Linked DNA regions of Cricetulus griseus. The protein of the gene in region 1 interacts with the protein of each later gene in a pairwise test. Links are inferred from orthologs where the notes say so. Each region holds a gene or a part of one and is shown on either strand. Other genes may lie near its edges.

Evidence for each region.
Region 2: the proteins of Ctnna1 (region 1) and Armc8 interact in a two-hybrid assay, tested with the Homo sapiens proteins (2 studies listed by BioGRID and IntAct). The link is inferred for Cricetulus griseus from reciprocal best matches to the Homo sapiens genes CTNNA1 and ARMC8.

What each region holds. Positions count from the first base shown.
Region 1 is NC_048595.1:202,266,585-202,270,186, reverse strand, and holds part of Ctnna1 (catenin alpha-1), read left to right. Parts: intron 1-42; coding exon 43-243; intron 244-793; coding exon 794-945; intron 946-3,602. UniProt on the Homo sapiens protein: Associates with the cytoplasmic domain of a variety of cadherins. The association of catenins to cadherins produces a complex which is linked to the actin filament network, and which seems to be of primary importance for cadherins cell-adhesion properties.
Region 2 is NC_048597.1:207,972,435-207,976,468, forward strand, and holds the start of Armc8 (armadillo repeat-containing protein 8), read right to left. Parts: upstream 2,850-4,034; 5' UTR 2,601-2,849; coding exon 2,556-2,600; intron 1-2,555. UniProt on the Homo sapiens protein: Component of the CTLH E3 ubiquitin-protein ligase complex that selectively accepts ubiquitin from UBE2H and mediates ubiquitination and subsequent proteasomal degradation of the transcription factor HBP1.

The DNA.
Region 1 (3,602 bases):
AGAAGATCTGATCCTTCATTCAGCTTTTTGCTTATTCCTCAGAGAATCACATTTTGGAGGATGTGAACAAGTGTGTCATTGCTCTCCAAGAGAAAGATGTGGATGGGCTGGACCGCACTGCTGGCGCCATTCGGGGCCGGGCAGCTCGAGTCATCCATGTAGTCACCTCAGAGATGGACAACTATGAACCAGGAGTTTATACAGAAAAGGTTCTGGAAGCCACCAAGCTCCTCTCCAACACAGGTCTGAGAACTGTCTTCTGTCCTAGTGTTCTCCCTGGTCCTCACTATGGCTTGGCTCTGACATCATTCCACATCTTGTGGATTGTACAGAACTCAGCTCTGGTTTTACACACACTGGGTGGCTCATCTTACTAGTAAGAAGTTGGTTATTAGGCAGCTCATGAACACATAAGTCTTTAAGGTGGGTCCTTCCTCCTGAAGTGTTGGGGATTGAACCCAGAACCTCTTACATGCTGGCCAAGCACTCAGCTACTATCCCAACCTGTTGTAAGTCCCATTGTTAAGGTCTCAAGGTAGTGTCATTTCAAGTTCTCAGTCACTCAATCCTAGATCACAGAGTCTGGTGAGAAGATGGTTGAGTCCTTGCAAAATATTGTCTGTTAGTCACCTATAAACGCCAAGGTTTATTTTGCTGGTGAGTACTGGGCACAAGAGTAGAAACACAAAGATCTTTGTCATGAGCTTCACTCTTCTGCCTGTTCAAGGACTCAGGAAAATGTTGGTAGAGTGCTGTCTGCTTAGGGTGACCTGCCTGCCTCTTGTCTCCATAGTCATGCCACGGTTCACTGAGCAAGTGGAAGCAGCTGTGGAAGCCCTCAGCTCAGACCCAGCCCAGCCTATGGATGAGAATGAGTTTATTGATGCCTCCCGACTGGTTTACGATGGCATCCGGGACATCAGGAAAGCAGTGCTGATGATAAGGGTGAATAACTACATTCTAGACATTTCAACAGCTTCTTTCTTATCATTTGATAACTTGACCAGTGTGTCATTTTGAAACTCAGCAGATCCAGTGGCCCTGTAGTGAAACCACAGATCCAAGAGCTGGTAAAATGAGAAAGAACCCAAAAATGGATCGAAAAAAGAAAATAAGATGGGCTTGATGAATTAAGAATTAATTTAGGAAATTTAGTTCAATAAACATAGATTAGCTTGGGTTACAGGGGAAACTACAGGAAATAGTCTCTTTAATTTCAGAGAAGCAGCTTTTTCTTAAAATAGGTAAAGTTCCTGTACTCCTCTCCAGAAGAAACTTTCCTCTCCTTGAAGGGAAGCCCAGGCAGGAGGTTAGACTCTGTTCAGGATAAGGAGTGGATGCTCCATGGCTCATGGCCAAGTGCTGAGCCAAGTGGAAGTACTGCCTCTGAGTCTTTGTCACCCATCTCAGAAAAGGCAGCAGAAGGTCCTATGGAGTTGGGTGGGATGGGTCTCTGAAACTGCAGTTTCTTCCATCAAACATGTCTTGGGCCTGTGTCTCCCAAACTGCCTTTTCCGTCGCTGTGGATCTCTTGCATGTTGCTCTGTCTGTGTTCCACCCCCAGTTTGTTGCAGGCTTGCAGAAGGGGCATTTGGAATACATTGCCCACCTGCTGCATTGCTGGAGCTTTGACTGCTGTCGTGTAGTTCAGTCCACTGACTTTCATTAATACCCGCATGGTTTGGCTAGACAGGGGCCCTATCTACTTTCTTACCCCTCTTCCTAGACTGCAGAAGTTAACCGCAGTGCCAGTTGGAACCATGTTCAAGACTTGCTGCATCCATTTTGTATGCAGCATTGAAACACTTAGGAAGACCACCATTCTGTGCATGAAGCAGGACAGCTGCCCATCAGCCCCAAGCACACTGGGAAGAGGAATGGTTGTGGGTGGAGCTACAAGATAGCAGAGGCTTCAGTCTTTGAGTGGGCCGGAGATGCTTTAGTGGATGAAGGTGTCTGCCACCAAACCATGAGGCCCGTTTGACCCTCAGGACCATCTCCCACAGGTTGTTCTCTGAGTTCCACATGTACAAAATAGATTAAAATGCCACTAAAAAGGTATTTTTTAAAGTTAAGGCAGAAGAATCTATCTCCTATAGAGGCTGGTCTGAGTTAACCATGGCAGCCAGTGGCTATAATATGGTATTAGTGGGTCCCAAGGCTACATATACTCCAGGGAGGCACACAGTTCTGCTTGTGTGTCCTGAAGCCATGTTAAAGCCAATGGGATCAAAGCTATGTAGTGTTCCCTAGGAGGTGACTCAAACCTAGAATACCACTTTGAAGAAGCAGTCTGGGTACTGGGAAAGCTCATCCTGAGAGCAGGCAGGTACCTTAGATGCCTCCTCCAAAATAATTCCTCTGTCTGTTACATCATTTTCTTCTCTTTACTGGGGAGCTGGAGTGATGGTGGTTCAGTGGTTAAAAGCACTGGTACTCTTTTGAGAGTTTGGACACCCATGTGGTGCCTCAGAACCATCTGAAACTCAGTCCCAGGGGATCCCATGCCCTCTTCTGGCCTACAGGTATGCCATACATGAATGAGGCATAACTCTCATACACATACAATAATTGTTTTAAAAAGTAATGGCTTTATTGAATGAAAAATGGCAGTGTTTTCAGCACAGTTCACTGCCTCTGGCTTCTTTCTTTCTTTCTCTATATGATCATGTCCCCCTTTGGGGGCGGCAGGGCCACAACATACCTCTCAGCCCCTCTGTATATCAGTCTCCTTGTCAGGGAAGCCCTGGTCTCTTCTCTTTGCCTGCATTTCTTTGTAAAAATGCGCTTTCTTTAGAGGCTGATTTTGCTCGTTTTCATACTTAAGTAGCCAACCCAGCCTCTGAAGCCAGATTACTCAGTGGTTAACTCCCCTGATCAAACAGCAAGTTTGGTTGGTTTTATCTTCCCTTTCGGGAATATGAATGTGGTCCCTTAGCGCAGTGCATCTCAGTCAATTCGTGTTGTCTGCTGTTCCATACTCTCCTAAGGTTCCACACCACTTGTCCTCTGCTGATCTTCCCTTGGCTCAGAGTCACCTGAGCTGGGATCCAGCCAGTGAGCCAAATCACTCTTCTGTTACTTGCTACTTCCTCAGTCTACCAACACCAGTCCTCCCACAAGACCTGTCTTTCCCTGTTTCCCATCAGCAGGATGGCTCTCTGTTCATGGCTCTGGAGTAAGTCATATAGTTGACTCCTGGTGCTTCCTGTTAGAATAGGTGAGTGAGTGAACACCAGCAGTCTGCAGCTAGAGCTCAGAGGTTCTGAACAGGACTCTAGAGCCCCATGCTGACAGGATCTTTATGGCTCTGTGGTACCTTGTGATTCCTGCCCCCTACTGTTCTCACTTCTCTAGGGGTAGGCCCAACCTTTCCCTGTCAGAATACAAGCTCATGTCACTGAGTGCTTCCTACATGTTCTGTCATTTGATCCTCACAGCAAGGCCCTGGGCATGGCTTGGCTCAGGGCCCAGTGGAGAGGAGGTCTCACTGCCCTCCTGTCACAGACTGGTCGTCTGGGCCAAAAGCCAACCCCAGCTGTCTTGCCTGTCGTCCTTCCTGATAACTGTGTCAATCAGTAGCTAATCAGGAGAGGCTGGGG
Region 2 (4,034 bases), on another chromosome or scaffold:
CAGATGGAAATAATTTAAAACAATTTGATTTCCCATTCAGCAACTTACAGTTATCACACTGCAGAGTCATCAGGACTATGAGCTCCTTTGGAGCACTTCTGATAACCTTGCATTTGCTAAAGTACACACACAACACAGGGCTTTGTACATCAAAGGCATATAGTAAGTAGCTTATTGAAGAGATTCACCCAAGTGTGTGTGTGTGTGTGTGTGTGTGTGTGCGCGCGCGCGTGTGTGCATGCACTCACCGGATCACAGGTCAGAGGTCAACATCGGTTATCTTTGTCTGCTTCTACCTTACTTTTTGAGACAGGGTCTCTCACTAAACCTGAAGCTCCCAGTTCTGACTATAGCAACTAGCTAGAAAGCCTCTAGGATCTGCCTCCCAGTACTGACATTACAGACATGTACTGACATTGTAGACATGCACTGACATTGCAGACATGCACTGACATTGCAGTGACATTACAAACATGCACTGACATATGGGGCTTTTTATGTAGGTACTGAGGATCCTAACTCAAGTCCTCATGCTTGTGAAGCAAGGAATTTACCCACTGAGCCACTTCCTTAATCACAATAACTTCTAATTAATAATTAATATTAAAATGGTGCTTGAGTTAGCTGTTTGAAAGGCAAAGTCTTTCCTTTAACCTGTAAGATCATTAAGCTCAAGACATTTTAAAGTGTTTCTCCAAAGCTCTGCCCTAAGACCAACGAATTGGAAAACTAGACCTTTGAGTTAGTTTATGCTCCCAAATGAGACTAGAGCTAAAGCAAATTCTAACTCAAAAATGGAAAATATTCTTCAAGAAGTTTTTTTGAGTGAAATAAACAGAACATAATCATTTACAAAGAAAGTGAGACAAATGAGGTTTTTGATTATCTACACTATTCAAGTTGATAATGTACAGAAAGAAAACAGGTGGAGCTAGGACTGTATTCTGGAACAGCACCTTACCAAGGGTGCTCAAAGGGTTGGGTTCAGTGTGTGTGTGTGTGTGTGTGTGTGTGTGTGTTGGGGGGGGGAGGGCAACCAAAAGTTTTTCAGATGAACTAAAGGGTATCTGAAATCAGGATGACATAATCAAAAGAGAACTGAACCATTAGGATACATCTTTCTTGTCTTTTAACTCAATTAGGGAGATCACTGGTCTGTTCTCCCACAAAACATTCATGGACATCGTAAGTGGACTAACAGGCTAATGTGCTCAATAGCTGGGTGAACAGCATTTCTCTAGTTGCAGTTTAAGTAAGCAGTTGAGTAAAATGGATCCAGGGATAGATCTGTTGATCACCTCCCAAAATTACATTTTGCACTGTATTGTAACTGTAGGTAGCAGCCTATTGAATGGCTCTAACCCTGGAGTGATGTACTAGGTGCCTTTGAACACGTGAGTGTGTTTGTGTAAGAGGTCAGAGCCGAGAAAAGGAACCGGTTGGAGTTGCAAGACTGTAGGAATCATAGCAAGTCATTTAGAATCCAACTACCATCTCAGTAAGTTTCAACAAGTCTCAAGGATGATCAATCGCTCTTTGCCTGCATACTTCTTTATTTCCAACAACAACAAATGAATCATTCATTGGTAAACTCTACTTGGCGTGCAACAGCTAAAACCTGTCGTGAAACCCTCCAAAGTTATCCCCCTGCAACTTTCATTCTTGTTCATTTCATCGATGCTCCTGTTCTTTTCTTTTAAGGACAATATCGTGGAAGGTGAACGTCTTCTTGTTGGTTTGTTGCTGTTGTTGTTTCTTTTTAACGTAAGAAGAAAAGAAATGGTATGACTTCTTGGCGTATCAAGACGTTCCCTTCTTGAATGGGGGAATGGGGAAATTTAATCTTGTTTTTTTTTTTTAATTACCCCTTTTGGTTCCTCCTTCTAAAATGTTTTGTTCTCCCTAAGGAAAAAAATGAACACCGGGCAATAGCAACATAGTTTCTCTAGTGTCCGAGCCGCGACCTCAGGAGCAGAACAGAGCAAAGCGGTTTAAATAACCACACACAATATAGCAAGAGTAGCAGCTTGAATTATATATATATATATATATATATATATATATATTATATATATCCATTGCCGAGAAACAAGCGGCTCTGGCAGGTGCCTGGGTGTAGGGACGTGACAGAAGACACACAGCCCTAGCCTGGCAGCTCTGTGCTGTGGCAGCGGAAGAGCTCACACCTCTTCTACCCACAGCCCGGGAGAGTGGAGTGGTCGCTCGGTCCCAGGCCTGCCCTGAACCTCAGCAGGCAGCGAGCTCGGTCTGGAGAGGCAACCGCGCAGAGAGGGAGGCAGGGGAAACGCTCGGCCAAGCCCAAGCCGCGCCCATGGGCCGGCTGCCTAGAGCCCGACCTCCCCGCCGGCCCGACGCCGCCCCGGGAGTCCGCACCGGTGGGAGCTCGCGAGTGTGAGACGCCTCCGGCTCGGCCCGGGCCGCGTGTGTCCCACCTACGGCCACCGCAGGGGGTGGTGCTCGGGAAGCTCACCGCGCCGGGCTCACAGAGTTGGCGGAGCCCGGGCTGCTGGGCGCCGAGCGGGTGGGTCACTCACCGAGAGGACACTCATGCGGATTGGGGTCTCCAACAGGCACGCCATCTTGAGCCTTCCCACCCGGCTGCTGCCGGCGCCGGCGCGCGGCCGGCACTTTCGACAGCCACCTATGGGGCCAGCAGCCGGATCCTCTGTGGAAAGCCAGACGAGCTACGCGGAACCGACCGGGCTCCGGGCGTCGCTTGAGCACCGAAGGACCGGGCGGAAGGGAGAAGAATGGGTAACCGCGCCGAACCCGGCTTACGAATCGTCCTCTCAGAAACAGCAGCTACTCTCGCTGGGGTCAGAGGAGGGCGCGGCCAGAGGCCTCCGCATGCGCAAAGGCCCGCCTGCCCCACCTTCCGCCTGCTGGGGGCGGAGCCTCACTCGGGCTCTGGGTACTGGTAAATTTCGGTTTGCGGGTTCTGTTTCCTAATCGCTAGTAGGTGGAGTTACCGACGTAGTTTGAAGTTCACTTTCACATTCGTTATCTCACTCTGCACCAAACTCCGAGCCTCAGTACTGTCCCCATCTTGGGGCTGGAGAAACTGGTCTCGAAACCGGGTCTCGTGCCGCTAGTGAGAACGGTGGTTTCACGCTTCAACGCTCAAGCGTGACCTGCGTTAACGTCGTGTGCCCGACCCACGCGTGGATTCTGGTTTAGTGTTCGGAATGAGCGAGCACTCCAGTGCCAAGACGCCTGGGTTTAATCCTTGCTACTTTAGTTAGCGCCTTTATCTTGGACAGGTTCCTTAGCCTCCTTTTATTTCAGTTCTCCCGACTGTAAAATAAGGGCTGATGAGAATAAATGAGGCAATAAACCAAACAACAAGCCCGGCATGTGGAAAGCCTTGTGCTCTCTATGTGTTAGCATTTTTCCAGCCTCTGAGTCATATGGGGGAGGGGTGGCGGGGAGGGGGACAATTGGTCAACTATCTGAGTATCGCGTACTAAAACACGCTGATAGGTGAAGCCATCTCTAATTAGGTTGTTACTGTTCCTCGGGATAAAGCAAGAGGCTTCCCAGTGCTCTTAGAGCAAAAGCCTATCTTTCTCCTCATTTCCACCTGTACTTTCTAAATTCATTGTATCATTTATCACCCCTGCTTATAGGTCTGTTACAAAATGTTGCACTTCTGGAAGACTGGAAGTTTAATAGAACCTGCTGTAACAGTATATTCTCTCCTAAATTCTGTAGCTTGCATCCTAACTACACAATGTTTGCCAGTGTTCGGCCGGGTGTTATTATTCATCCAATAACGTTGTTTAAAGCCAGTTTCCACATCTTTGAATTTTTTAGCTTTTCCCTAAATCGTAGTCTGTGAAATCAAGTTTTTTGTGTTCCTTTTTATTCTAGGATACATTACCATTCATAAATACAAATATTAAATGTCTATCTACCTAGCTCCTAAAATCATGTCCTAGTATGCCTGCTACAACCAGGCAGATTGTAACTGCACATAGTCTCTATAGCTATGTGAGCTACACTTCACTCTTTAA